Lonchura striata: one gene and its partners. The protein of the gene in region 1 interacts with the protein of each later gene in a pairwise test. Links are inferred from orthologs where the notes say so. Each region holds a gene or a part of one and is shown in the gene's direction. Other genes may lie near its edges.

Region 1 (7,716 bases):
GTCCCACTGGTGCTAGCAGGTCAGGAACAAACCCCTCGCAGGAAACAGGGAAATAAAGGAAAGCAGAAAAGAACAATTTCACATCCAGGAATGGAAATGACTCAGGGGCATTAAAATGCAGGGAAGATGAGAACGAGGAGGGTCCTGGCCCTGTTTTCAGCCACATTTTTCCCCTCTCAAAATTCCTAAGAAGGGGCTCTGTGAAGATGCCTGTGGCACCACTTCCCAGAGTGTATGATTGATGAAGAACTGTGGCAGGAGTCTCTGGAGTGGGGATGTGCCCTGGGTTATCTGTATGGGATCTATAGATCAGCTGCAGAAGAGGAAAGAACCCAGGAGAATGTGGAGGAGAGGGAGCAGGAGCACTCCAAATTTCTGTGATCCTTACTTGGGGCAGATCCAGCATGCCCCTGGAAAAAAGGGGAATCTCAGGGATCTGACTCTGGGAGAGACACCTGAGGTGTGGAGGAGCTGGCTGTCCCCAGAGAGATGGGACAGGTGGGAACAGTGCTGCATTCATCTCTTGGGGATGTCCCCAAAAGCTTCTTTCAGATGGGATCAGTCCTGGTCCCCTCATTGCTCCAGCTGTGTCCCCACCAAGCCTACCAAGGTTTTCCCCTGGGTGGAGAGAGATATTTCCATTCCTTCCTCCACTGAGGAAGAGCCATATCAGTCACAAAGCAGCAACAGGATTAGGGGATTTGGCACAACCAGGAGCATCCCAATCCCACCCATGCCCTGCCCAGTCACATTGAGGTGTTCCCTCTTGGAGTTTTGGGAAGGGAATTTGCTCTGTTGCACAGCAGCACTCCAGGTCACACATTTCCAGGGGGATCAGACCTGGGACAACCCAAAATGATGCAGATTTCAGAGAGAGGACAGGGAAGATGAGCTGGCCTCAGGCCTGGCAGCTTGTGGGGGTATCTCCAGGAGGATAGGATCCCTCTGGGTGGGATGGTGGGAGCAGAGCAAGGGCTGGGGTGCTGCCTTGGCTACCTGTCCCTGGGGATGCAGTTCCCTTTGGAGGCAGCCTGGGCAATCCTGGCACTGGGAAACAGCATTTGTGCAATTCCTTGACCTCCAGCTCCTGGTTGCACTTTGAATCCAGAGTTCGGGACAGAAGCAGGTACCAGGAGGAAGCTTTATCAGGAAGATTGCCATGGAGAGGTTTGAGGGGTTCAGCATGGTCACGGGACACTGCCAGTGGGGCTCACTGGTCACGGGATGCTGTCACCACTGTCACCATCTCCCCAGGAGATGTGCTGAGGCTGCAAACCTCCTCTCCATCCCAGGCACCCACCTCTGCCCACAATGCCCCAGTTTTCCAGGCTCAGCACGGCTGAGGGCTGAGGCATTTTGGGAGCCTGAAGACAGCCGAGGTGATCTCATCCCACGAGTATTTTCTTGGCTCCCTCTCCTCGCTCCAACGCCTCGGCGATAAGGCTGGGCTGAGGTCAGTGGGAGGGTCTGGCATTGCGGAGCCGTGTGTCACCCCGCGGAGCCTGGGACACGGCACCGGAGCCTGGGACACGGCACCGGAGCCTGGGACACGGCACCGGAGCCTGGGACACGGCACCTGCACCTCCCTGGCTCCAGCCAGACACCGAGTCCCCACCCCAGCCTCCAGGATGCTCCACCTGGGAAGAGGGTCCGTGCAGGCAGCCAAAGGTGCCCCCACCACTGCCCACAGGTCCAGCTGCTGTTGTTTCACCTTCTCCTGGGGAAAACAAAAAGGTTGAGGCTTTTCGTACCTCCAGTATTAGAAAGAAGGAGAGGGAACTCTTCAGATCACTTTCCAAAGGGGTCTTATCAGCCCAGGAGGGGTTTCCTGCTGCCAGGAATAGAGCGGTGTTAAGATAGGAAGGGAAGGATGACACAAACATAGATAAAGCTGGGGGACGAGCCAGGAGAAGAATCCTGGCTGCTGGGGCAGCTGGGCTGCTCCCTTGGAGCTCAGGTAGGAGCCCCATCCACCTGGGAAAGAGCAGGGCAGAACCACAGCTAGGTCCTTTCGGAAATGCCACTGCTGGGCTTGGTATATTGGAGTGGTGCATCATCCATCCATCCATCCATCCATTCATCCATCCATCCATCCATCCATCATCCATCCCCATGGTGCTGGGCCTGGGCCCGTGTTTCCAGACTCTGCATGTTCCTGGGGACACAGGGACAAGTGCTGTGCTCTCATCTCCTCCCCACATGAAACTAGACCCTCACTGGGTCTTCAGGGTGCCAATTCCCACATTTCAGCCTTCATCCATGAGGATTTGACTTGTCACTAGGAAAACTGGGCTGGAAAACCTGTTTCTTGAACTTCCAGGTGCTCCTCTTCCTCCAAGTACCGACTCCATCTCTCTGCATTTTCTTTCCATGCTCCCCTGCCTTTGAGTCTGGTACCTGCTGCACATGGGAGATTTATTTATTTCCCCATTTTTTGGGAGATAACCCAGAGGTAGTGAGTTGTGCCTGCAGCCTGTGCCTGCTATTGCACCCTGGGTGCCCCAGGGGTGATACCAGCGTGTGATGGAGCAGGAAAACAAGGAGATGAGGCTGGAGATCCCCACATCCCTCTCCCCACATCATCCTCCCGGCTCTGTGCCAGTCAGAAGATGCCGAGTTCCCTCAAAAGAATGGGAGCTTAATGTCCCGGAGCTAATAAGCAATTTTCCCCTGCACCTGCCTCTCCCCGCTGCCTCCCCTCCGGCCATCTGCTGTCTCGGGGCCTCTGGACTCTGCACTGACAGCCTGGGGCGCCCGGGGCTGAGACGGGGCTGGTGTTTCACTGCTCTGGGGCTGGGGGTGCTCAGTGTCCCCCCAGAGATAAACCGGGGTGGGTTGAAGGGGGAATTCGGCCCCTGATGGTCTCCTCCATCCCTGTGTCCCCCCAGGGAGGTGGGTGGCAGAGCCCAACAGGGGAAACTGAGGCTGGGAGAGCAGCAGGGGCACCCAGACACGAGCTGGCAGGAATTGCTGCATCCACAGCGAGCTGGCAACCCCAGCCGGGGGGGTGTGAGGATGGAGGACACAGGAGGGAGGAATGCAAGGAGGGAGATGTGAAGAGGAGATGCAAGGAGGGGGAAGGTGAGGAGGGGGGATGAGAGATGGGGGATGCAAGAAGTGGGATGTGAAATACGAAGAGGGGGACATAAGGAGGGGGATGTGAGGGAGGGGGATGTGAGGAGGAAGACACGAGGAGGAATGTGAGGTGGAGAATGAGAGGACAGGGGTGTGGGGGGGGGGGATGTGAAGGGGGGGATGTGAGAAGGAGGATGTAAGGAGAGGGACACGAGGAAGGGGGATGAGAGGAGGGGGGATAAGAGGAGGGGAGATGAGAGGACACAGAATGCGAGGCGAGGGGGATGCGAAAAGGGAGAATGTAAAGAGAGGGGTGCGAGAAGGGGGGGCCCGAGGGGGCAGAGCAGATGGGGCCAGCAGGCTCGGGGTTGCCCCGGCCCCGCAGACAAAGGCTGGGGCAGATTTACGGCCCGGGACAGCTGGCGGGCAGAGCCGCCCCCCCGCCCGCAGCTGCCGCTCCCGCTCCCGGCCGCGCTCCTGCGCCGGCGGCGGCCCCGGGGCGGAGCGGGGCGGGACCGGCCCCACATTCCGGGCATAGCAAAGCCCGGCCCGGCCCCCGCGGCTCCGGGACGCTCAGAGCCGCCGCAGCACCGCTCCGCTCCGCCATGCCCCGGTGAGTTCTGCCGCCGGGACCCCCCGGCGCCGGGAACTCCCCAGCACCGGGACCCCCCTGACCGGCACCGGGACCCCCCGAGCGGCATCGGGACCCGCCAGCACCGGGAATCCCCCGGTACTGCCGCCCAACCCCCCCCGGCACAGGGAACCCCTTAGCATTGGGACGCCCCCGACTGGGATCGGGACCCCCGACCGGCACTGGGGTGCCCGGATACGGAGAGGCCCCTCGGGGAAAGGACGCTCCCCCGGCACCGGGAATCCCCCAGCAGGGATCGGGACCTCTCTCGGCAGCGGGACCCACCCGGACCAACAATCCCGGGACCGAGACCCCCTTGGACCGAGATCCTCCCGGCCGAGACTGGGACACCCCTCTGGGGCTGGGATTCTTCGACCGGGATCGACCCCCCCTGGCCCAAGGAAGCCCCCAGTCGGGACTGGGATCCCTTCACGGGAGCCGGGACCCTTCTCCCTGGGATCGGGACTCACCCCCCCCGGCACCTGGACCCTCCCGGGGAAGACCCTCTCCCATACCGGATCCACCCCCAGGGACTGGGAACACTCCTGGAACTCTCCCAAACGGGACAGGAACATCCCCACGGCACTTAGAGCACCCCCCCTTGCCCCACAGAAAAGTCCCAGGACCCTCACCGAGACTGGGACACCTCTGCAAGTCCAGGACCTCCATGTCCGGGTCTGGGGATGGGGTGGTCCCACCCATCTCCCGGTGGCTCTGTGCCCGGTCCCGTGGGGCTTTATCCCCCACTCCCGGGCCAGTGCCAGTCCCGGCTCCATGGGGCACCGGCTCTGGAGGCAGCCCCGGCCCCGGGCTCGCTGACAGTGCCGGTGCTCGGCCACCCCAGTGCGGGGGCTGCTCCGCTCTCCCGCTGCCGCCACGGGCTCCCACCCCTCCGGCACGTCCGGGCCGCATTCCTGGCAAACAATCCCGTGTCCATCAGGATCCGGACTCTCCTGCCCCGACTGCTTCGCAACAACCCCGCTTCTCCCTCTTGCAGGTGTCTCGGCGTGCCCAGTTGCTGTTGAGGTCCCGCGGGACGCCCCTCCCGGGTGGAAAGGTGGCTCTGCCGGCGGCACGGACGGACATGAGGACGGCGGAGGACTCGAACGGGACGGTGCTGCACCGCCTGATCCAGGAGCAGCTGCGCTATGGGAATCTCACGGAGAACCGCACTCTGCTGGCCATCCAGCAGCAGGCTCTGCGCGGCGGCGGCGCCGGGAGCCCCCGCTCCTCGCTGGAGAGCCTCAGCCCGGAGGAGAGCCAGATGGTGCAGCAATCCACGCGGCAGGAGCCGCAGGGCCAGGAGCATCACTCCGACCACGTCTACTTGGAGAACAGCGTCTATCGGCTCTGCCCGCCCAAGGGCGAGGAGCTCCCCAGCTACGAGGAGGCCAAGGCGCATTCCCAGCTGCTGGCCTCGCAGCGGGGAGCGGCGGGCGCGGGGCTCCGGTTCGAGCCCGGTCCGCGCGGGGCCGACAGCGGCGCCCGGCGCCCCGACGAGGCGCTCAAGGAGCTGAAGCACGGCCACGTGCGGTCCCTGAGCGAGCGGCTCATGCGGATGTCGCTGGAGAGGAACGGGGCCAAGGCGCAGAGCCCCATCAGCGCTTCCCACAGCTTCCCGCAGCTCTCCCGGCAGCTCGTCCCCCTGCGCGGGCAGCACCCCGAGGGCACGGAGCCGCGGGGACCGCCCCCGGAGTATCCCTACGTCATCCCTTCCCAGGACGCTTACCTGGCTGAGCCCCGACCCTGCTCCCGGGAAGGTCCTGGATTTCAGCATCCTGAGATCAGGTAAACTCTGGCCCCTGGGCTCTGCTTTTGGATGCCTCCCAGGAATGTCCAGGATGGATGTTTGGAACTTGCAGGATGCGAAGGGCAGTGGGGGCCCAGAGCAGCTGCTTTTGTCCTCACTGGCACAGGCCATGGGGGGTCTGCCGGGAGCACCCTACTCTGCTCCTGTCCCCAGCTCCCCCAGCACGGCTGGGCTTTTCCAACCAGTGACGAAAATCCCATTCCCACAGCAGACCCTGCCTCATCCCCATGCACCAGGAAGGAGCTGGGGGTAACTTAAGGGATAATCTAGGAGCTGGAAGCAGCCCAGGAAACAGATAAATGTGGAATAGGTATGGGGCAGGGTGGAAAACAAATATGGTCCCTGCTCCACATGTCATGTCATGGTCCTGAGCTGGGAATGTCCATGTAACTTGGAATTGCTGCTGAGCAGAGCCTGGGCTGGTGCCAGGTGGTCTGTGGTTCCTTTGGCAGCTCAATACCTCTGGCAACGCTCCAGGGTGACTGTGAGATGGACATCTTGTGGTCCAGACATTACCTAGAATTTGAGAAGGACTGGAAACAGCCTCTTCCATTGTGGAAAATGATGGGAAGAAGGGAACTGGTGGCTCAATGTGAGGACACACTGCTCCCAGCCCTGCTGATCTATCCAGGCAGAGAGTGATAGCATCTCCAGCAGGAAAACCTTCTCCTTCCAGGGAACAAAGAGGGGAAGGGGAGCTGCGAGGAAGATGTATTTATTCTTCCTTGCTCCTATATCATCCCGCAGGAATGCGGGCCCTTGGCGGGCAGCCCGCAGGGGAGCACAGCGGGGCCGGGCCGTGCACAGCCACCCTGCTCAGGGTATTCCAGGCAGGATGTTGAGGTGGGATGCTGCAGCAGTGGCACAAGGGGCAGCCAGGCTGGCCTGGCTCCTCCAAATATAAAAAGGATGCATCCATGGTTTGGCAGTGAGGACCTATGTCAGGAATCTTTGCTTTGCATAGAAAATAAGGAAAAGGCTGGCTTCCAAGGTGCATCCTATGCCAGGCTGCCTGCAGCATTGCCAGGAGGAGAGGGACCTGGGGGGTTGGGAGCCCATCCAGACCCACTGCCCAGGTCCTGGAGGGGTCAGGTCAATGCATCCCTGCACGATGGGATTTGTGATTAGAGAGCGAGCGCTTCCCAGTTCTAAAAAAGCAGGATAGGCACTTCCACCTCCTTCGAGATGACTTGGAGGCACTGGCACGTGCTCGATGGCATGCTGGAGCTGCAGCCAGCCCTCCCACCCTGCCAAACCTTGACTCGCCCTCCTCGCTCTCTGCAGGGTGCTGCCCACCTCGGTGCCGGCCGCGTTCCTGCCGCTGTGTCCGGGCGCGCTGGGTCCGGCCGGCGTGGAGGCCCTGGTCAGCGCCCAGGCGGTGTCGGCCGGCAGCCGCCTGGCCCGGGCAGACGCCGTCCTGCGGGAGAACGAGAGGCTCCAGCGGGAGAGCGAGAAGCTGCGGCGGGAGCTGGAGAGCTGTGCCGAGAAGGCGAGCCGCATCCAGAAGGTGAGGGAGTGGTGGCAGCTTCCCGTGTCCCTCCTGCCCGGGGCGATGCTCGACCAGCTGCCGTGAAAATTCACCCCCTTTAGTGATTTAATCCTTTCTCCTCCTCCCTCTGGCGGCTTGTTCCCCTCGGAGCAGCTGCAGCACGGCAGCCGGGATTGGGGAGAAGGAGCCCATTCTCCAGTGACCCTCTCCCTCCGCCTGTCCCCCCATCCCGGCCGCCACAGAAAGCCCTTTGTGTGGCCGCGTACAAGGGGCGGCTGTTCCCCGTGGCTGGGCTATGGCAGAGCCAAAATCCGTGGAGAGACTCTTCCATAAGAGAAAAGCCCGAAAAAATCAGTTTTCCCCCCCAAAACATGTGCTGGGGGCCTACTCGGGGTGCACTGAGCAGCTCAGTTTGGGCTGAGCACCCTGGCTGGGCTTTGGCTGGCATCTCCCTTTCCTCATTCCATGAATATCTAACCCTGGCTTGTCCCTTCCTCCACCCCAGCTGGAGAGCGAGATCCAGCGCATCTCAGAGGATTATGAAAATCTTGTCAAGGCGTCTTCCAAGCGGGAAGCCTTGGAGAAAGCCATGAGGAACAAGAGGGATTGTGAGATGCGACGGCTGCAGGATTTCAACCGAGACCTGAAAGGTGAGGGGACCCTTTGTGTCCACATCCCCATGGGTGCTCTGTGTCCCTCAGCTGTTTCCAT
Region 2 (7,410 bases), on another chromosome or scaffold:
AGGAAAGAGCTTTTGAAATGTGAATACTCTGATACAGTGGAAGTTGCAACAACTTTTCTTTTAACCAAAAGTAACACGCAACCACCAAGATGTTTTATTTTTCTTTCCCAACTTCTGAAATAGCTTTGCAATATTGACAAATGCACAAAAGAAACCCTGTGCATGTCTGCCAGCCCCTAGGGGAGAGAGAATTTTGTACAGAATTCTGTTCTATCAAAGGAAACATTTTGCCCCAATCTCTCCTGTTATGTCACCCACAGGAGGAAAATGGATATTTTGGAAATAGGTCATATCTCTTTGCATTTATTTTGATTGGTAAAACTTTACACCTTTTGCAGCATGTATCAAAGTATTTTGCTTAAAAAACCCCCATGATCAGAGGAATGAACTTCATCCAATAGCCTTCAAACACAGCTCATAACTGGTACTCCATGACTGCTGCTTTAAATTGCTGCTGATCTTGACTTGCATGCAAATAGTCTTTTCAGAGCTCTTGTGACCTACCTCCTAATATTGCACTTTCAAATTGAGGGTGAAGAATTAGATTTAATAAAGTATCCAGAGTATATTTTTTTAGTGATAGAAAGTGAAATAATTTTGTTTGCTAGAATCTAGAGACCCCAGGGCAACCACTTCTTTTTGGCTAATAGGTTGCTCTTTGGCACCTTTGGAGGACCTCACCCCAACATCCAGACTTGTGATTGATGACCAGTCCAAGACTACCAGTCCAAAATGCTACATCTTTGAGATGGGAGAGACTCCAAATGAGAAGTTATTTTCAACTCATTAAGATATAGTGCACTATATTGCACACATGGTAAAATTTCTTTCATCCCTGCTTCTCCTTCAAGGTTTCATCTATACCAGTATCCTAATGACTCACATTATATATATATATTTCTGGTTTCTCCCTTTACAATCTCCTTCTTGTCAGAAATACTTAGTTACTATGCAACTACTCACTACAACAAAAGCTGGCAATCAGGTTTATAATCAGAAAGTCAGGATCTGCATTTCAGAGTCTAAAGTGATACATACTCACCGCCTCCATTCCATAAATTAGGTGTAAAATTACAGCTTTCCTCCCTAGCTTTTTCTAAAGGTGTCTAAAACTGGGAAAGGAGATACCAACATCTGTACTAGCCAACATTTTATTTATAGTAATTGTTATTGCATCCAATTTTTTTCAATGCTAGTTTTCCAGATTTAATTTTTATATGGTTGCCAGTTATCCCTGTTAATGGTATCTTTCTGATTTTTGGAAAATACCACAAACCGCGCCCCCCCACCCCCAAACTGTTAATACCCACCTCTCCATTAAATGCAGATCTGAGCAGATGAGGATTATGACAATCACCTTCTTAATAGTTATTTTACTCTAATGAAGGGCATAAGTCATGATCCAGAAAAAAAAAAAAATCACACCTTTATAGACACATAACACTTGCATTTGCTTATATTGATGAAATGGTCATTCCAGAGACTGGTGCTCTGGTAGTTGGCTGGATTCATAAATGTATTTATACACACTAAACAAAAATCTTTGCAAGTCCTCTAACAGACCACGTAGAATTTCATCTTTCCCCACCTCTTCTAGCATTTGCCTCTAGAGATCTGATTAAGATAGGTGCTGTCACTTTATATGTTAAGGGCTTATAAGTGATCTGATAAATTAGCTTTATAGTCTGGAAATAAACTGTAAGCTGTCATAAGCCTTGTGCCCATATGTAGTGCCCAGAAGTACCCTTTGCTCTTATGTTTTCTAGCACTTCATTTGGACAGACAAGTTAACTTCAACCAGTACTTTTTTTTTTTCCTCCACACAACAGATTGCTTTAGCTGGGTAATCCCCCCCTCTCCTGGCTATAAACAGAATAGAACCATGTGGAGTTGTGTGTTGTTAAAAAAAAGTTTCTGTCTTAACTCCTTATCTTGGTTGCTTATTTCAACCAGGGCATGAAAATTTTGATTTCCTTCTGGGGTTTATTTTTAGCTCCTTTAGACTTTGTTCCAACTGTTTGAATAGGAAATAACAATCAAGCCAAAGGTTTCCTGTTTTCCTGCCATTCCTTTCCCTGCAACTATTTCCAGTAGTTTTGTTTTGTTTTTGTTTTTGTTTTTGTTTTTTTTTTTCCTAGTCCAGAACCTTTGATTTCTAGTCTTTTTATCTTCCTAATCCAAAAGGAAACACTTGAATTGGGGATTGTTAGACATTTTTACTTCTGGTTTTGTGTTTTGTGGGTTTTTTTGTGATTTTTTTTTTTTCCCTTTCTGAATCCCTATGGATATCTTGAAAGAAAATTCAGATCCAACTGATGAAATTTCTAGGTTTTCTTCTGGAATGTCTCCTGATGTTGTTCCAGGCCATCTCCTAGCTCCTTTCAGCCATTTGACTACCAGTTTAACACTTTAACCAGGCTCCCTCAAAAGAATACCAGATTGGAGAAAAAAAAAAAAAAAGTACCTTGGTAACTACTTTGGTCGGTTTTTAAAGCTATGTGAACCTGCACTTGGCCAGGCTTCGGGGACTCACAAGTTTCCTGGCAAAAACCTGGGGACAAAAGTTCAGCTGCTGTTGCTCCGTTAAACAGCCAGAGCCACGTTTAAAAACGCTGGGCCAGGCCAGCCCGGCCCCTTATGCCGAGGTCCGGCCGGCCGGAGCTCGCCCCGCCCCGCACGGCCGGCGGTGCCGGGAGCCCGGAGCGCAGCGAGGTTGGCAGGCGGGAGGAAGGGATGGCGGCGGATCTAGGAAAGCACTCAGGATTCCCACGCGGGCTACAGTTATTTTACAAGTCGTAGGTTTGTATTAGATGTTAGGAAGACATTCTTTACTGTGAAGGTGATGGGGAACTGGAGTGGCTTATCCAGAGAAGCTGTTTCCATCTGAAACCATTCTATGAATCTATAAAGAAAAGATGAAAATCGTAATGGGTATGGAGAAAGGATGCCAAGTGGTGCTGCGTCCATTTGTGATTAAAAAGCCAGAGACAGCAAGAAGAGAAGGGATGGAGTTTGCACACCGAAGGGTGGGAGGTTAGTTATGCCTAATTTTTCTCTCACTGCTCTTGGAGAAGAGGTGGCACACCTACATACACTCCTCTTTGGGGAGATACAGGGAAATTACTTGCATTGGATATACAGAGATGTGGGAGAAAAGAAGTGAGTAATGTACAGCAGTGGTTATTGTGGTTGAGGTGGGCAGCTATTGCTGTGGAGGTGGAAATCCATAGGGAAACACAGAAGTTAACTGCCTCACAATATAGCCTCCATAATATCCATCCAGACAGCTGAGAGGAACTAAATTTGGACTTCAACATGAAGAACTGCACCTGCCAGGCACACACAACTTTTAACTCCTTTGAAGTGGCACATCACATCACTGAGACACACTGTGCTTTTCTACTGCTCTTTCAGCTGGCCCAGATATCAAGAGTGAGCCTGTGCAGTACAAGTGAGCTCACCTTCGGCCCAAAGCTATCACCCACATGCCCTGCAGGCCACAACCAGCTCTGTATTTCAGGACTCTTGAGGATCCCTGCCGGACTCCCTTGTGCCAAGGTCCTGAGGTGAAGCTAATCAGTCCCTCACAGCAACAGGACAGTTCAGACAGCTTTTTCCAGAAAGTGTCACTTCTATTCAGTACATCTTATGTACCGCAATTAACAGCAATTGGTCAATGAACAGATAAGTACTGATACTCAAAGCCAAAAAAATTATCCCAAACCTGCACAGATTGCAGATTGTCTCTTTAGTCAGTTCTCATATCCACTCCAGTGGACCGCTGCCACTTCCAGTTAAGTCTGACTTTAAAGCATATCACACGTACAGGACAACATAAGACACTGGGGAAGTAGCAAGTTCTGCTGAGGAGGCCACTATTCATAGAATCATAAAATGGCTTGAATTGGAAGGCACCTTAAAGATCATCTTGTTCCAAAAGCTCCTGGAACACCTCCAGGGATGGGGTATCCACAGCTTCTCTGGGCAACCTTTTCCTCACCACTTTCACAGTAAAGAATTTCCCCTCAATAACACAAGGACCTCTCCCCTCTGAGATCCGAGTCATAAGGGACATCTTGCCAGCATGCAGAACTCCTCGGCAGGAGAGTGGTGGGGCCACACGTGAGGCAGGGAACGGCCACGATCGAACCCCCACCACACAGGGCCACGGCCTCGCTCGGCGTCCTGCGGGAGACGCGGGCAGGTACGAGACTCTGCCTGGCCGCGATGAAGCCTCTCTCGGCACCGAGCAGTCCCGTGCGTGTCCCGGGACAGGAGAGGGGCGCGAAAAGCCGCCGCTACGCACCCGGCCCCGCACAGCGCCCTTCCGGCCCTCTCAGGGCGGACCACAATTCCCAGAACGCCGCGCGCGTGGTGACGCCAGACGGCGGCGGGACTTGGCCAATGGGCGGGCGCGCAGGCACCGGGCGGGGCGGAGCGGCCGGTGGCAGCGGCGGAGCGGCGGCGGGAAGGGCGGGCTTGGGGTTCCACAGCAGCGGCGGGGACGATGCCGGTGCATTCCCGGGAGAAGAAGGAGAATAATCACGATGAGATGGAGGTGGACTACGGAGAGAACGAGGGCAGCAGCTCTGAGGAGGAGGAGACCGAGAGCTCGTCCGTCTCCGAGGAGGGGGACAGCTCAGGTAGCGCAGCCGCCCGCAAGGCAGCGCCGCTGAGAAGGCGCCGCGGCGGCTCCTCAGCGCTCGGTGCCGCCCCGGGGACACACCGGTTCCGCCCGGCTCTGCTGCTGTCGGTGTGCCCCCTCCTTCCCCTCCCCCCGTGACCCCGCCCCGGCCCAGCCTCTGCTTCAGCGGCTCTTCTCCGGGCGGCCGGCCAGGGCGCAGGAGCGGGGCGGGGCGCACGGGCAGCGGGCCCCGCTGCGCCCCGAGCCCCGGCTCCGGAGCGGGCGGGTACGCGGCCATGGCGGCCTGGGCCGCGCTCCTCCGCTCGCTGGAGGAGCGTGGGTTGTGCCCTGTTGGCCTTGAGTGCGTCCTCGCTGAGGTCTCCACTTAAGGGCTTATATACATACGTGTGCATGCATGAACACGTGTGTAAGTACGTATTTCCATGCAAGCTCACGAAGTTCAACTAGGTGTTTTAAGAACTGTCTTTGGGGGGGATATTGGAAGCCTGTTAATACCACTGCCCTCTTTTGCAGAGCACTTCAGCCTCTGCTCAGTTGAGCTTCCCTTCTTATTTCCATACTTTCCATCTGGACTGTAGATTTTGAATTACGTTAGTAGCTGAAATCTAGCTTTAAATGGATCACTTTTTCTATGTTTCATTTACACTTGTTATTAAGAAGGTTATTATTAGCTGTTCTAAGTTTCCTTCTAATTACTACTTTCTGTGTTTGATCTTAAAACATGTTTCCAGGTGATAACTGGTAGGATTAGTGATGACATACAAGACAGTGGATGGAAAAGAAGTTGGACAGGGTTAGTGAATTGAGAAAAGTCCTGATGTCGATGTGGACTTGGGCCAGTCCTAGTCCTGACATGTGGTTCTGGCAGCTTAAGTGATTTAGTGCTGAGGCCCCTATATCATCAGATTAAAACCATAGAATATGCTGAGTTGGAAGGGACCCAGAAAGATCATTAAGACCAACTCCTGACTCTGCACAGAACACCCCAAGAATCACACTGTGTGCCTGAGAGTCTGGGATTAGGAAGAAGTAAGTGTGTTTTAAGTGGATGTAGTCTGTTCATTTTTCTTTAGAACAACACCAGAAGCTCTCCAGATAATTTTTGTTGCATTCCACAGAGACTTGCTCTTAAGGGAGTACTTAAAGTTTGATGATGACAAAAAATTACATGGTTGTCTCAGTGTCTTGACTAATATCAACATACTCCTTGTAAGCTTTTTATTCCTACAGACTTAAAATGATTAGCACCCCAAGAAATAAGTCTCAATTGAAATTAGTAATTAATTTTTTGTCAAATTTGTAATTTGCTTTACTTGCACAAAAGGTGCTGTTAGAGGAAGCATGACCGTCCTTGAGAGCTGTCACTCTTTCTATATTGTTAGTTTTGATGTTATGTATTTAGTACAGGTGTTTTATTGACTTGAATATGGAATAGTTGATACGGGATGAATTTAAAAAGCCACAAGTTATGCTTGCTATCCCAGAGGAGAATTTGGCCATTTTTTAAGCACTTTATATAGGCCACATCTTATTAAAAAAAGCTGTTACATTTTAAGTGCTGTGTGGATTTTTTTATCTTTAAACCGTGTTGCCCTAATTGCTGTGTTAGACTGCTTGAGTATAGTAGGAGAAAACAACTGGGATTTTGAAAGTGTTTTTAAATGCCCTAAATACTTTTTGCAGTATGAAACTGTATGGTAAATCTGAAGTTTTGAGACAGGTCAGGCCTATTAGCAACTGTTTTAATATGGAATGAGCAATCCTCCATCTCCTGTGATGTAAATTTTCAATTGGAAAGCCATGAGATTTGATTTTACAACATTTTATGTTTTCAGTAATTCATATTCCATAGTTTGTGTGTTGTTTAAGACCATGAGGAAGAAATTCCATAAATGGGGAATTAAATATATTTCAGGACTCTGAAAATCTTCACCATTTTATGAATCTTATTGAAGGAAGAATACAGATGATAACATTGAAAAGCAACTTGGCATGTGAATTACCATTTAGTATGAATGATAAGGGAGAATTGAAGACTTCTAGGCAGAAAGTCAAAGTATTTGTAGCTGAGAGGAGATTGGAGGTAGCTGTGGTTTTTTTTATCTACAAGGAAGTCAGCTATACCCTCAGATACCAGTGAATATCAATTTCCTTGCAACACAAGTTAAAAATTTAAGATGCAGTCCCTTTCCCCTCCAACAGTGGGTGTGCTCTGATCCTCATCCAGGATTACAGTTCTAGTTTTCTTTGCTTTTTACTCTCTAAACATACACAAACAATAACATCCGTGTTAATTTAAGAAGAGCTTTTGAGTGAACTTACTAAAACATACTTAGAATTAAAAACATAGAAGAACACATTTGAAACATATTTGAGAATAAAGGGGAAAAACTGTTGGTATGCCAGTGCTTGTTCCTGTTTAGTTTCACTGGGAAGTGCCTTCACATTTTAAAGAGGCTTCATTTTTGTAGCACAGAAATGCTTTGGGCAACTCTGGATAATACGATTGCCACATTCTTTAAATCTGCCCAAATTATAAATCACTACATTGATTTTGTTGTGGATATTGTGTCAAACAGTCACATAAAACTTTGTTCTTTCATGTGATTTTCAGCCTTATTCTGGGATTACGGTTTTGCCTTACTTTTGAGAACAATATTTTAATATAAATAGTATCTCTTAATGGCCTGATTGTTCTTCTCCCACTCTCCCCATTCATTGCATTTTTTTAAGCTCTGTCTCAAATTTTCTTGCTCTGCTTTCAA
Region 3 (7,325 bases), on another chromosome or scaffold:
ACAAACACGGGGGGAAGGATACGTGTGAAAATGAGGAGTTGTGCAAAGACAGGGTGAGTGTAAGAACAGGGGATGTACAAACGGGGTAAGTGTAAGAACAGGGGATGTACAAACGGGGTAAGTGTAAAAACAAGGGATGTGCAAAAATGGTGCAAAGGCGTGAGTGTGCAAAGGCTCTGGGGTGGCAGCACGGATCTCCCAGCATGTTTCTCTGTGCGTTTGTGCAGGTGTGCACACAGGACAGTGTGTGTGCACGTGTGTACACACAGATGTACAGATGTTCACACACGCACACACATGAGCACAGGTGTGCACACCAGTGTGTGAGCACAGAGGTGTGCCCGCGTGCGTGTGCAACCACAGGCGTGCACTGAGGACTGCGTGTGACACAGGCGGGTGTGTTCACACGTGTGGATGCACATGAGTGTGTGCGGTGTGTGTCTGTGTGTGTTGTTGCACACACGCGCAGACACCAGCACCCCCGGGCGGGTGTGCACGCACAGGTACCAGCGCAGGGGTGGGCACACACGCGTGTGCAAGGCCGTGTGCTGCAGACACGTGTGTGCACACACGTGGCGCCGCCATGGGCCTGGGCTGCCCCCCACCCCCTCCCTGCAGTACCAGCAGCTAAAAATATCCCCAGGGATGGTGCCAGCCGTCGCCATGGCAACGGGAGGATGGGGAGCAAGGCTGGGGGGCAGCCCCCCAGAACTGACAGCCCCCCCCAGTACTCCCAGCGCACCAACCCTCCCAGAATGCCCCCAATAGCCCCCCAGCACCCCTCCTGCAACCCAAACACCCCCAGGCCTCTGCACCCCTAGAACACTCCCAGCCCCCCCAAAACCCTCAGTACCCCCAGAATTCCCCAAGGGAACCCCCAAGGCTCAGGAGCAGGGTGAAGACCTCCAGGGGGGCTGGGGTGGGAGCTCAGTCACACCCCCCCCCCCCTCCGCGCTGCTCCGGGGGGGTTTCGCGGCCCCTTAATTCCCCGGTTAATCATTCATGGGGCCGGGGCGCAGCAAATCCCCCCGTGCCGGGGCCGGGATTAAGCGGGCCAGCGGCTGCCCGGGCGGCGAGGGGCCCCGGCGGCGGGGGGGACACCCCGGCAGCGGGGGGGTCCCGCCGGGGGGGAGCCCTATCCATGAGGAGGGATTTCCTGTGCAAGGGGGGGGTCGCTTCCCACAGCTGGCCGTGGAACAGACACCACGGGGGTCTCCAGGCAGGAGGGGCTCTGAGGAGCCCTGCTGGACCCCCCCAACCCCGGCACAGCACCCCCAAACTCCGGGGCAGGGGTGGTGGTGGTGGTGCTGGCAGGGTCGGGGGTGGCAGGGGGTGCTCGGGGGGTCGCAGCTCCCCGGGGTGCCGCGGGGGCGGCCGGCTGGGGGGAAGGCGTCGAAGCCTCGGCGCCTTGGCAGGGAGCCCCGGCACAGCTGCCTCCGGCCCGGGGCCGGGGGGGCCGGAAGGGGCTGGGGCCGTTCCCAGCGCCGGGGGCAAGCGAGGGGCGAGCGGGGGCCAGCGTGAGGGGCTTCCCCTTCCCACGGGGTCAGTGGGGTGGCTGGGAGCTCTGGTGCCGCGTCCTGCCGGGGGGCACATGGCTGCTGACTGGTGTTTGGTGGGGTGTGAAGGATCTGATCCGGGATAGAGGGACACCCCCATGGGGCCGTCCGGACCCCCCAGTTGGTGGTGGGTGCTGCCCCATGGGGGTAGCCAGTGCTGGGGATGGAGGTGCCTGGTGTCATCACCTTCTTGGGGGTCCTGGGGGGCACCACTGGTGACTTGGGGCTATATTTAGTGTTTCTGCCACAGAGCAGCGGGGTGAACTTTAATGAGCGTGTTCCAGCCAACTAGAGCAGCACAGCCCCTCTAAATCCCAAATCCCCTCAGATCAGGGTCTGCCACAGGGCACAAGGTCCCCACTCTACTGGGGCAGTGCAGAGACCTGTGGTGGCACTGGGGGAACCTCAGTGGGGACGGGGAGCTGGTGATGAGCGCGAGAAGCGCCTGTCTGTGTGCTCCAGAGAGGCCACAGGCAAACTCCAGCTCTGCCTCAGTTTCCCCAATGGGATAGAGGCTGTCAGGCAACCTCAAGCAGGGGGATCTGGGGACATGAGGTGGTGTTGAGATGGCTGAGCCCCATAGGCTGGGGGCAGGCGAGCTCAGCCACAGCCTTATCGCGGGCAGACGGCTGCGGGGGGCCGTGGCCGAGCCGTGTTTGCTGAGGATAAAGTGTACGGAACAGGCGGGGAGGGACGGGGGGGCCGTCACGCTGCTGCTGCCCCGCCACGCTGGGACCGCCAGCCGTGCGGATGAGGGCCCCAGGGTGACCCGGGGGGCCAGGGGATCGATGGGGGCTATGGGGACCACCGGCCTGTGGGGACCGGGGGCAGCAGGAGGTCCATGGGTTCTGTGGCAGTCCCAGGTGTCGCTCTCCTCCATCCGCTGGGTACCCCCATCCCCTGGCGACCACCTTCCCCTGGGGACTCGCATTACCTGGGGACCACCATCCCCTGGAGATCCCCGGGTAGCACTGCCCCCTTGTTGTCCCCATTCTGAGCAGCACCGTGCCCTGACAGCCGCTGGCCCGTGGGGACCCCCCCCTCACCTTCCCTGGGTGTTGCCTGCGCTCCCCAAGTGTGGGAAACCATCCCCTGGGTACACCCCTCCCAAGGAAACCTTCATCCCTTGGAGACCCTCCTCTCCTAGAAGCCTTCATGCCCGGGAGACCCCCATCCCCCTCATCCCCTGGGTATCACCGCACCGCCCGTGCAGCCCAGGGAGGGGGGTACCCAGGGGGCTGGGGGGTGGGGGGCGGCCAGACTGAACCCCCCGGGGGTCCCAGGGCCGAGCTGCGGGGCTCCGGGCGGGGATGAGGGGGGCGGCAGAGCCGCTTTAAGCCCGGGCATGACGGGACGTGTAGTCCGGGGAGGAAAAGGGGGGGCTGGGAGCACGGGCTGCTGGGAAGGGGGTGGGGTGGCACGGCCGGGTCGGTGGGCGACCCTCAGCGCCCTCCCCAGTGATCCCCCCCGGGCTCCCGGTGCCGCCGCCATCCCCAGCCCCACGGCGGCTCCGGGTCCGGCCCCACAGCGGGGTACGACCCCCGTTGTTCCCCGTCCCACACATCCCCCGGGGGGCGCAGGGGCAGGGCCCCCCGACGTGCGGGTGTCCTGCGGGATTGTCTCCTGCCCGGGGCGGTGTGGATCTGAGGGGGACCCCCGTGTCTGGTGTGTGCCCCTCCCCGGGCCGGGCTGGGCATCCGGGGTGTGGAGCTGCCCCTTGCCTCGTGGGCACTGTCACCAAGCCCCATGGGGACTGTCCCAGATCTCCTTGAGCATCATCTCCACCCCACCGCCACCCAGCGAGGGCACCGTCCCAGCCCTTCCTGGGTGCTGTCCCCAAATCCTGTAGGGTCACTGTCACTATCACAGCATCGCCGTGGGCACCGTCCCCAGCTCCCTGCGGGTGCCGTGCCCTGCCCTCGTGGACACCAGGTTGTCACTGTCACAGCATCCCCGTGGGTGCTGTTCCCAGTGCCTGTGGGTACCATCCCCGCCCTGCCACGGGCATCCCCCTGGGCCTCCCTGGGCACCGTCTCCGGTCCCCCTTCGGTACAGCCCGCCACGCGGTGGTCGCCATCCCCCGTCCCTGTTGTCACTGTCACGACATCCCCGTGAGCACCGTCCCAAACTCCTGTGGGCACCAGCTTCACCCCACCACGAGCACCGCCCCAGGATCCCGGGGCCCCAAACTCCCGTGGGCACTGTCCCCACCTCCCCGTGGGTGCCGTCCCCAACCCCCGTGGCCACTTCCCCTAGCCCCCCCTGCACACAGCCCCCCACCCTGTGCTCACCACCCCCCGTCCTCGTTGTCGCTGTCACCACATCCCCGTGGGCACCGTCAGGGCTGCCACCACGCACCCTGCCACGGCCACCATCCCCACCCCGTGATCCCCGTGTGCCTCTCTGCCCACCCCGGTGTCACCCTCCCGCGGTCCGCCCGGACCCCGCCGCTCCCCCGTGGGTCCCCACGCGGGGCCGGGCGCGGCGGGTGCAGGGAGCGGCTGCGGCCGGCGGAGGGGGCTGCGGCCGCGGCGGAGCGGAGCGGGCGGGCGGCGGGGCCGGGGGAGGGAGGAGCCAGCGCCGTTCGTCCGCCGCCGCCGCCGCCGCTGCGCCCCGCTCCGCTCCGAGCCCCGCACCGCCGCTCCGAGCCCCGCTCCGCACCCCGCACCGCCGCTCCGCGCCCGCCGCCGTCGACCTCAGGTACGGCCCGAGCGGCCCCGCCGGCCCGAGCGGCCCCGCCACCCTCCGGTTGTTTACCGCCGCCCCCCCCGGGCCCCCCCGGCTGAGCACGGGCTCAGTTCGGTGCGTGGAATGGGGGGCTGGGGGGCGATCGGGTCGGGAGGCTCGGGACCCGCGGAGAGCTCGGGGGCCGCGAACCGCGAGGAAAAAACACGGGGAGAGATTTTTTTTTTTTTTTTCCTTGGAAAATCCGGGCGTTTGGCGTGGGGCGGGGGGGCCGCGTTCCCCCGTGGGGGGCGGGGGGGGGGCACCGCGCCCCCCATCCCCACCGCACCCGCCGCTGCTGCATGCGGGGCACGGCGCTGCCCCCCGCCCGCCACGCCACGCCACGGGGGCAGCCCCCCCCCGGTGTGGCCCCCCGGCCCCGCGGCCCCCCCGTGGCCGTGGCGTGGCGGCGTGGCGGGGTCCGGGCCGCGGCGTGGCTCTGCGGTGATGGGCGCGGGGCCGCGCCGTGGGCAGGTCGCGGGGCCGGGCCGTGGGCAGGCCGTGGCCCTGTCGCGGCGGGGGGGGGAGAACCGTGGACGGCCGGGCCGTGACGGTGCCGTGGAGTGTCCGTGAGGGCTTTAGGGGCCCCTGTGTCCGCTCCCCCGCACCCACTGCGCAGGGCTGCAGGAATGCTGCGATTTTTTAATTTTTAAAATTTAAAAATATTTTTTAAATTTTTTTTTTTTTTTTTTTTTGCGCCGAGAGCAGAGAGCGGGGGGGGGGGCGGGGGGGCGGTTCGGCCGCTCCCGGTTAGGGCGGGGGCAGCGGGGGGGCGTCCCCGGTGCGGCGGGGCGGAGGGGGGGCTCTAGCCCCGCACCACAGGCTTCGCCCTGAGCGGGGCGCGGGGCGTGGCGGGGGCTCCCCTCTGCACGGCGCCCCGCGGTCCCGCGGGATGTCCCCCACCCCAACCCCGGGGGGGGCGGATCCTGCCCCCGCTCCGGTGTCGCCGCCGGGGTTAGGGATGCGGTCCCAACCGGACTGTGGCGCGTCCCCACTGTGCGATGCGGGGAAACTGAGGCAGGGGCGGGCGGGCGCCACGGCCAAGGTCACCCCGGGACCGCGACCTTCAGCCGTGACCCCCCCCGCCGGGGGCTGCCACCGGCACCGACACCGGAGCCGCACCGGGAGGCCGGGCTGCGCCTCACCCCGCCTGACCCTCGACGGCACCGGGGACCCCCGCGGCTCCGCTGGAGCGCTAGGGGGACCGGGGCCGCCGTGGGGCGCGGGCAAACCCCGGTGGAACCGGTTTGGGGGGGGCTCCCCTGCCCGGGGGTCTTGGCGCAGGGTGGGGACGCGGCGCGTCCCCCCCTCCCCACGGCAGTGCCGTGCGGCTGCGTGTGCCCCCCGCAACGGTGCGGGCCCCGCGGGCCGGGGGAGCGGGATCCTCGCACGGGGGTTCTCCCCGGCACCCCTTACCCTCCCGCCGCCGTGACCTTCGCGGGGCCGCGGCGTGGTCGCTCCGCGGACGGGCTCCCGGAGGGGCGAGCGCGGGTTCCGTACACACCCGGTGTCCCGCACTCTGCGGAGCGGGAACGGGGGGGCTGCGGGCGCACCCCCGGACCCCTCCCGACGGGCGGCGGCTGCAGGAAGCTGAAACCCCCCGCCCCCCATCGGCTCCGCTCGTCGCCCCGCGAGTGCATTCCCGGGTCAGCGGAGCCCGAAGCAGCGGCGGGGCCGCCCCGGGGGTCCCATCCCGCGGACCCCCGGCCCCGCCGGACCCCGCGCAGCCGCCGGTGCGTGGAGGCGGGGCCGGACGCGTGGGTCCCCCTCCGGACTGGGGGGGAAGAGGAGGAGGAGAAGAGGGGCCGCGGTGCAGGCGAAGGCGGGCGCGGGCTGCGCTCCCAGGGCCCCGCTCAGGCTGGATGCGGGCGGGGGGCGCAGCGGGGTCCGGCCCCCGGGGCGGTGCCGTTCGGGATGTCCCCTGCGCTGCAGACCCTCGGACAGGGTCGGCTGACTGCAGGAGCACTGCGAGGATTGTCCCTGGTGTCCCCTTCTCAGGGGGCGATGGGTTCCCACGGGCAATCTCGGTTCCGTGTCCCGGTGCCTGTCCCTGTGTCCCCTCGTGGGTGCCCACGCTGGGCACCTCGTGGTGGCCGCCTCCCCCTTTCAAGCAGGGCCCCCCCGGGAGGGGACCCAGGAGCTCTCCCCCCCCCCCCCGTTCCCTGCACGTGAACCAGAGCCCCCGATTTAGAAACGTCCCATGCCGTGCCAAGGGCTGAGAATAGCTCCCGGCGTCCCAGCACACCTCCTGGGGCCAGGGGCACCCCGCGGGGCTCGGGGCCCGCAGCCACCCCCAAGAGCTGAGACTGGGCACACTCAGCACACACCAGGTGCTCAGGGGTCCCTGTTGGGTGACCTTCGTGGCCTGGACAAGCGGTGACATCGGGATGAGCCGCATCCTGTGTGCTGGCACAGGGGACACGGGGCTGGGGATATGGGAGTGTGGCTCTTTCTCTGCCAGGCAGCCCCGGTGGGAAGGGAAGCTGAAGCGGGATGGGGAAAAGGAGGCACAGCTGAATGCTCACACACAGCGGGAAGGAGTGGCCGGTGTGGCCTTGGTTGGATGTAGTGTTCTTAGGAATCCCATGGGGTTTGTGGGGGCTGCGGGGCTGGGGGCAGGTCATGGTGCAGGTCCCCACTGTGGTGATGCAGGACCCGTTGGACACAGGATTTGTCATAGGCTCAAGGCCACAACGTTGGGTGCCCAGTCAGTGTCGGGACAGGTCACCAGCCCTGCCAGTTGTCCTACGAGTGGTGGCTTCAATGAGCCATGAGCCACAGGGAGAACACAAACCCTGGCTCAGCCATCCTGTGCCACAGCACAGCCCAGACCCCACATTTGTGGGGAGGGGGCACCATGCAGGGCTCCCGTGGCACTGGGTGGGCTGCCCTGATGTCAGGCCCGTGGCATCCCCCTTGCTCGGGCTGCCCAGCTGCTGTGCATGCCTGGGATTCCTGCAGCCTCACGGCTCGGCACGGCACGGCACGCTGTCCCCACTGCCACGCGTGCCCACGGCACTGGGCACTGTGTGGCCCTGGGCATGG
Region 4 (7,904 bases), on another chromosome or scaffold:
ATCTTACTTCTCAAGAAATTCTCACTTCCCAGCAAAATCCTCCAATAATTTGGAGGATTTAATCAGAGAGATTCAAAAGCTGGCAGTGAGGCAGCTCTGAGTAAGTACACATGTGGTCCTTGGCAATTTCTGAGCAAGGTGCCACAAAGTAGAATTTAGCGTGGAGAGCTTATTTCACCATACTGAAACAGTTCTCAATGGCAATGACTTGTCACTTGTCTCCCTCCTGTGCTGCTGGCCATGAGAAATTGCTGATCTTCCTACCTGTGTGTCATCTCCACCTTCCTTTCAAATTAATGTGGATGTAAAATGTGCTTTGCCATCTCAGTCACTCAGAGCACCTGCTGACTTTCCTTCTCCAGTGTTTTTATGTGGTGTGCTCCAGATTTCCTGCTGATAATGTCTGCTGCTCAGTCATGGAGAGAAGGAAGCTAGGACTCATCTCTTTTTTTTTTTTTATTTTTCTCTTCAGTGATATTCCTAGCATTTCCCACTTTCTATATGCATACAATACACTTCATAAAATGGCACATTTTCACATTTTTGAGGACTTTTCAGTGATTTTTTTTTCCAGTCCAATATAGAAAATGAATGGTGTTACATGTTTCTTCTTTCCACAACATTGGCAGCATTATCTCGAGAGTCTCAGTAAGGGCAGTGTTATACACATTAGTAATATATGTGTTCATTAACAAAAAGAACATTTGAAAATGCTTTTTTTTGTGTTTAAAATATTTAGGTGAAATCAGATATTTCCATCAGTTTTGGAGATATTGCTGTTCCTGATATTGTCTCTCAGTCTAAGTGGGTAACATGCTCTATGGGCAGAACTGGCATTTGAGACATAAGAAACAGGATATTTTTGTTTGCTCTTAGACTCATCTAAAATACTTGAACCCCATAACCTTCTTAGTTTGTCATATGAATAGCCATGAAGCTTTAAGTAGGCTGTTGCAGTGCAGAAGTATCATGTAAATTTTCTTTATTTAGTCCATGCTCTTATTGTGAAATTTTTGGTGTTTCTTCACACTTAACAGTTCCAGTAAACATTGCCTCACTTATGTCTGCCTAAGTTACAATGTGAACATCTATTTCTCTCGGGTTTGCTTTTAGCAAGAGTACATTACAGCACAAATATTTTTCCAGAACAGTTTCCACAAGTGTTCCCAGATTCATGGAAATATTTTGATTAATACTTTCAACTGTATTCAAATGACTTGCCTTTTTCTATAGTGCATTTTATCTCTGTCTTTGATCTTTATAAAATCACAATCTCATCTATTTTATGGAATTTTCACTACTGCTCTTGAGCAGGAGCCCTGGAGGTGTCAGTTAGTTTTAAACATTTTTGAGCACTGATCACATTAAATAGATAAAAAGACTGGTGAATATAGTTTTCTGTAATTGCATCGCTATGTAGTAAACCTTCTACAGATATAAAGAAAGCAATGCAAGAGAACCAAGGATAATAGCAGAAGTCACCATCTCTTCAGTTAATTTCAGAGAGTATGTGTGTATGTGCATATACATATAAATAAATCATTAAACTGTGTTTAGTAGAGCATAATCTTAAGAAATATTTTATTCTTATTTTGGTCCATATTTATTTCACTTTCTACATTGTACTGTATGTGGACTATAATAAAAGTGAGGAATGAAGGCCTTTTTTCTTTGGGTACATTGGAACTTTTATTTTCATCCAATTCTAAATTTCAAGTTGGGTCATATTCAAAGCTGATATTATGGAAAGCCCAAGATGCATGGACACAACTGAATGCCAAGGTGTTAACCAATGTTTGAGATGACAGGCTCTTCTGTTACATTTTTGTTAATTGCTTCTCAAATGCCTTTCTAGACTTGCATGTAGTACTATGACTCAGTGTAGCCTTAGAAATTCTCATTAAGTCAAAATCAGAGGTAGTGTTTAGAAAATTTAAGTCATGTAGCAATAAATACCAATGAATCTAAAGGAGTTGAAGTTAATAGTGTGCTGTCCAAAAGCAAGTATAAATCATATCATGCTAGAGTCAGCTGAGAATTTAGCTGAAGATCTTCATGACCTACTTCATCCCTCCAATAGGAAAATCAGCAGAGGTGGATAATCATAGAACGATTCTTTTTTGCAGTTTTCCCAAAAGCCTTATATTCCCTTTGTGCAGAATACACAAAGCTATGTCTTTCATCCATGCTATTTATTCCTGTATCTCAGAAGAGGTGGAAAAATGGTGAATATGTTCCTTTAACCACAAAAGCACTCAGCCCTGCATCCCACCTTTTCCCTGAATCTGTCAAGTGCCTACTGGAAGATTTGGAGAGTAAGACCAGATTTTGCTGTAAAAGGGTTTTTTTTTTTATTTTCCTGACCTCTACCAAATAGAAGTAATGTAAAATATAGAAAATATCTTTCTTCCTAATCTGGGAGAAAGATCAGGTTTGTTTTTATGGCTGATTATAATTAGTGACAAACACATAAGCAAATAGGTGACCAAACTCCATCTGGAATATTATTTCCAAGACTCTCCACCCACATAGGAAGGATATTACTCGCCTTGGAGACTTCTTTCTAGAATTCTAGAATTTCTGGAACTTGAGTCATGAAGGCAAATTTGAACTGTTTTTTGTTTTTTCTTCTTATAGATGTGAGAGTTAAAGTTGTTAAAAGTGTATGCCCAGGATTAACAAGAAACCATTTATCATGGTGAAAACAATGTGTACCATTTAATTTTAAAAACTGCCTGAAGTTTCAGGATTTACTTTGGCTTTTGACAGTCCTGAAAACTCAGTGCACTGGACTGGAATGATACATATGGGACATAATGTGTGCTGCACAAGATTCTTCACGTAGGTTCTTCACTATGCCAAAGACCTTAAGTAAGACACCAATATTTATGAGCAAGCAGGTCTTCAAGCTTATTGCTGGATCTCATGTCTGACATTTCCAGTAGCATGCCAACTGTCTCTGCATATCTGTTATCCACTGGCAAGTGGAAGCACGGGGAAAATAAACCCTGATTGTGCAGCCTCCAGGAGGAGGCAGTGGTTGATCTCTCGCACTCGGCTGCTTTTGAATCCCCATGTCTGTCACAGGGGATTGTCACACACTCCATAGTCTGTTACCTTTAACAAGGCTGCATAGGCTAGATATTAGAAATAGGAAAGGAAGAGGGATAAACCAGTGTGAGTAAAGGTTATTAGACCTTTCATATTAAATAATCCAGGGAGATATAAAGAAATGGATTCAAGGCATTTAGACTATTGTGGAGGGATATTTTGGGTTCATGTGATAAAACACTAAGGGCTGAGGTAAACAAAAACAATACTCTGAATTTGCTTTCTGTTAGGTTTGCTTTACTCCAGAGGGCTATCTCTGTTGACATATAAATACAGGATGACAGAGTAATGTACCAGAATAATGTTGGAGAGGACTATACTGTTTCAGTAAATGTTTAACAGAATGAAATAATGAATCATTTACATTCCGTAATTAGGATTTAATAAAGAATTTTTTTTGTTGTCTCCGTAAATTTTACTTCTGAAAGGAAAAAAAAAAAAAAAAAAAAAAAAAAAAAGAGATGGAGATACAAACCTTCTGCGAGGATAAAAAAGAGGAAGGTACATATCTCGCTCCTAATCAAACGCATGCATCCCAACCCATTCTGGGTTGACAGCTGGATTTCTCGCAGACCATGTGTCACTTTCTAACACGGAGGTTAAACAGGGGGCAAGCCAGCACCAGGCTCTCCGCAGCATCACTGGGGGAGTGCGGGGACGGGGCTGCCGGCGGGGATGGCCCCGGGAGGGTCGGCGGGACTCGGCTCCCCCAGAGTGCGTCCCCGCTGCGGAGATGAAGCGACGCCACCGAAATCCTCCAGCCCTGACGGCCGCCAAGGGCAGCGGACGAGCCCCGGCAAGGCCGCCAGCGGGCTGCTCTCCCCTTGCCGTTCCTCTCCGCCTTTTACGTCTCTCCCCGCCGCTCTCCGCCAGCGACAGCAGCCGCGGCGCGATCCGCCGGCGGAACGCGGCGAGGCGGCGGGAGCGCGCCTGGGGAGCGCGCCTCGCCCGACGGCGCGGAGCCGGCGGGTGCGAGGGCGCGGTTCCCACACGCCGCGCAGACACACCCCCGTAACGCCGCGCACCGCGGCCCCGCGGCGGGAGCCGGGGTGGCGGTGCGGGGCCGGGGTGGCGGTGCGGGGCCGGGGAGGCGGTGCGGGCCGGGGAAGCGGTGCGGGGCCGGGGTGGCGGTGCGGGCCGGGGAAGCGGTGCGGGCCGGGGAAGCGGTGCGGACCGGGGTGGCGGTGCGGGCCGGGGCGGCGGCGGAGCGGAGGCGCCGCGCCCGGCGGGCGGAGGCTGCGCGGGGCGAGCGCCCCCCAGCGCGCTCCGCCGCGCCGGTTACGTAAGCGCGGGCGCCCCCCGCGCCGCCCCCGCCGGCGGTTATGCAATCGCAGCACACAGACCTACTGTACGGCGCGCCGCCCCGCGCCCCGCCCCGCCCCGCCCCCGCCCGCTCCCATTGGCCGCCTCCCGGCGGCGCCGGGCGCCGATTGGCCGGCCGCGGCCGCCAGTCACGGCGCGGCGCGGCCGGCATGCGGGCTATGAGCGCCGCGCCGCGCAGCCCTGACCTACTAACACACATCCCTCCGCGCCGCCGCCGCGCGCTCCCGCCCGCCGCTCCGCCGCCGTCCGCACGGCGCGGCGCCGCACCGCGCCCGCTCCGCACCGCCGCCCCCCTCATAGCGCGGGGACCGGCGCGGGGCGAGGAATGCTCGGCGCTCCGCGGCGCGCTGCAGGTAAGGAAGGAAGGAAGGCAGGCGCGCGTACAAAGTTGTGGCGCCCGCCCGGAGCTTCGCTCTGGCTGCGGGCGGGGATCGGCTCGTGCTTAAGGGGAGCCCGGCCAGCTCCGGCCGCCGCCGGGCGGGAAGGGTCCGGCGGCGGCGCCGCTCCGCGCGGCGGCGGGCGGCTCGGCGGAGGGGTGGTGGCGCGGGAGGCAGCCCGGGAGATGCCGGCCGGCGGCTCTGGCTGTCGGGGCGTGCTCGTTCCTGGCGTGCCGCGCTGCGCCCCGCGTGTCTTCGGGCGAGCCCCGGGCAGCGCCGGCGGAGCGGCTCTCCGCGTTGCATAATGTGCCGGCGGGGAGCGGAGCTGCCGCGGCGGGCGCCGTGCGGGGCGGAGGGCTGGGTCCCGGGCAGCGCCAGCCGCAGAACCACCGGGAGCTGCTGCCGGAGCCCGCCGGCCAGACCCAGTCCTCTCTCGGGCGGCGCAGGGGCATGTTGCCCGCGGGCAGTCGGGATCAGTGGCAGCGGCCCGGCGCCGGGGCTGCGCTTGTCTCAGCCAGCCTTTTCCGTCACTTTTTGTCGCTGTTTTTTAGGCGCTGCGGGACCGATCGCATAATAGTTCCTGGAAATGTTGCATTATGTAACCACAAAATATGCTGGCGGCGGGGCTGGGAAAAGGGAGCTAATTATGCGATTTTATAATCTGCCTACAAAGAAACTAGGACAATCTCGCCCCGAAAAAAAAAAAAAAGAGCCCCCTAAACCCGTAACTGTAACAGGTTTTGTTAAAGTGTGTTTATTAAGGGAAGTAGACAACTGGGTAAGTGGGGAGGCGAGGCGCGCTCGCGGGCTGCGTGCCGGGTGCCTTAAAACGAGATTTGTGTTGGGTCTATATTTAGCCCCTTCGCGTTTTAGCAATTGTGGCTTCATGTGCTATTTCTGGTCTTTTCTCCAGAGCCGTGCGTGTGTAAGACGTTCGAGGCATTTGCTCGGATTTTTAACTCTACGCCTTCAGAGGCTTTTTAGATCAGGCCGTATTTATTTTTTTTTAGGGAAGGCGTTTCGCCCAGACGCCGTGGCATCTCTCCGGTACGGGCTTTCAGTGGGTGGGGGGGGGATAAGAAATGAAGAATAATTTTTAAAAAACAAAGCATCAGACCAAAACAAACCAAACGGGGATGGCTTGATTTAAAGGAAGAAAGGCGTTTACGGGCGATCTCAGCCGCGCTGGAGGGGGAGAGGAAGAGCCGTCCCGGCCGTGCCCGGCGGGCGGGGGGCCAGGTGCGGCCGGCCCCGCGGGGCAGCGGCGCGGGCTCCGGGGGAGTAGGTCAGTGTGACAGACGCGATGGGCGGGGGAGCGGAGCTGGCTGCGCGGAGCCCTCCGCGCCCGCTTCTCCTCGCGGGGCTCGCGGGGGTCGCCGCTGCCTCCCTTTCCCCCGGGCGGCGGGGCGCGGCGGCGGGCGAGGGCGGCGGGCGTGCGCTCCCCTCAGCCCTTTGTTCTGGGCTGGGGCGGCGGCGGCGGCGGGGGGGCGGCGGGCTGGCAGCGCGGGGCCGGGCGGGCCGGGGCCGTGCGCCGCCGGTCACGTAGGGGGCCGCGGGGCCGAGCCGGGCCGCCTTTGTGGCGGCGCCGATCCCGCGGCTCGGCCCCGCACCGCGCCCCGCGGAGCGTCCCCACCCCGCTGCCCATCGCCCCCCCAGTCCCAGCGTCGCCTGCAGGCAGGGATCGCCAGACAAAGGCCCTCGCTGGTAGGCACGGGATGAGCGTTTTCTTTCGTTTCTTACGTAACGAGCGACAACAACATCATAAAGGCGGGGGGAGGAAAAAAAAAAATCATCATTGCCTAATTCTGTAATGTTTTTCCCAAGTCGGTTCGGCGTCGCAGTGGCTGTGTGTTTTGTACTCTGGGGCCGGCTTGTGCTGTGTCCTCGATAGGAGCATAGCTTGAAAGTTTCTGACTTGCCTTTCAAGATGAGGTGCTTTTAATTTATTTTAATTTTTTTTTTCAATTTTTAATTACTAAAACGGTTCTCCAATACGTGAAACCAACATCTCTGTGCTTCTGACCAAAAACCTCCCAACCGAGTACCCCAGCCACAGGCTTTATGTTCATTGTACCTGCTATAGCAAGTAGTAGCAAAGTATTTTAAAAACGTAATATTCTTGGTAACTGCATAAACTTTTTTTGCTGCTTGATTGCTGGGGCCAAGTACAGCTTTGACAGTGAGGCTTTTTTGGAGTTACAGTTTTGTTAAAAGCAACCCTGTTTTTTTTTGTTGTCCTTGTAACTTGAATGATTGCACTTAGTTTCGTTATGTTTGCTCCAGTGTGTATGTAACCTACTTTGAGTTATCTTTGCCCTCCTCAGTAATTAATTAAATCCAGAGCCTCGTTTGAAATATTGCTATGTCCATTGCTTTTATGGTCCTTATTCAGTCAAAATCTTGACTTTGATGAGAAACTCGAATGAATAAGGATTTGGTGTTTTGGCCCAAAAGCCTGATTTAAGCCAACAAGTTCAAGGACTGCTGAATAAGGATCGTTAATAACATTGGCACTAACAGTTATTGTTACATTACACATGTCTCACATTACAGATGTCTTTGACTGTTAAAATGCTAATAAGCGTTAGAATATTCTGCCTCCACTTTCATTTACTTTATATTTTTATCTTGTGCTCCAAAGGACTCTTGACTAGCTTTCAAAATATCCAGCTTCCTGAATTTGCATCCAAAACTACAAGTTTCTGCTGTTTTGGTGGGGGTTGTTTTGCGTTTTGTTATGAGGTCTGGGGGGGATTTTTTTTGTTTGTTAGCTTTTGTATTTATGAAACAGATGTGAAGGTGTCAAGAAGCTAAGAATCTTCCCATGGGCAGTATGAACTTACATGACCTCCAAACAGCTTATCTCATCTTAAGAGGGAACAGTATTTGCCTTGCTTTGGATGAAATTTATAGAACATACATTCTTTCTATTGCAGTAGAGTCAAAAGAGAGTCTGAGAAAGATATCAGCACAATGCTGCTTTTTTCCAATCCTTTATCTTGAAATAAAACTCTTAAATAAAATAAACCTTTAACTCATTTTAAATTGACTTATTTTAACAAATAGTTATGCAAACTACACTTATGCAATAGT

The links.
Region 2: the proteins of AMOTL2 (region 1) and BRMS1L interact in binary tests that used the Homo sapiens proteins (3 or more experiments, as listed by UniProt). The two-hybrid records come from large-scale screens. The link is inferred for Lonchura striata from reciprocal best matches to the Homo sapiens genes AMOTL2 and BRMS1L.
Region 3: the proteins of AMOTL2 (region 1) and THRA interact in binary tests that used the Homo sapiens proteins (3 or more experiments, as listed by UniProt). The two-hybrid records come from large-scale screens. The link is inferred for Lonchura striata from reciprocal best matches to the Homo sapiens genes AMOTL2 and THRA.
Region 4: the proteins of AMOTL2 (region 1) and NFIL3 interact in binary tests that used the Homo sapiens proteins (3 or more experiments, as listed by UniProt). The two-hybrid records come from large-scale screens. The link is inferred for Lonchura striata from reciprocal best matches to the Homo sapiens genes AMOTL2 and NFIL3.

The regions. Positions count from the first base shown.
Region 1 is NC_134612.1:5,558,352-5,566,067, reverse strand, and holds the start of AMOTL2 (angiomotin-like protein 2), read left to right. Parts: upstream 1-4,708; 5' UTR 4,709-4,790; coding exon 4,791-5,494; intron 5,495-6,800; coding exon 6,801-7,023; intron 7,024-7,510; coding exon 7,511-7,655; intron 7,656-7,716. UniProt on the Homo sapiens protein: Regulates the translocation of phosphorylated SRC to peripheral cell-matrix adhesion sites. Required for proper architecture of actin filaments.
Region 2 is NC_134608.1:25,089,972-25,097,381, reverse strand, and holds the start of BRMS1L (breast cancer metastasis-suppressor 1-like protein), read left to right. Parts: upstream 1-4,403; 5' UTR 4,404-4,507; coding exon 4,508-4,643; intron 4,644-7,410. UniProt on the Homo sapiens protein: Involved in the histone deacetylase (HDAC1)-dependent transcriptional repression activity. When overexpressed in lung cancer cell line that lacks p53/TP53 expression, inhibits cell growth.
Region 3 is NC_134627.1:7,028,443-7,035,767, reverse strand, and holds the start of THRA (thyroid hormone receptor alpha), read left to right. Parts: upstream 1-4,154; 5' UTR 4,155-4,256; intron 4,257-7,325.
Region 4 is NC_134642.1:7,511,799-7,519,702, forward strand, and holds the start of NFIL3 (nuclear factor interleukin-3-regulated protein), read left to right. Parts: upstream 1-4,680; 5' UTR 4,681-4,787; intron 4,788-6,492; exon of another isoform or gene 6,493-6,515; intron 6,516-6,605; exon of another isoform or gene 6,606-6,743; intron 6,744-7,904.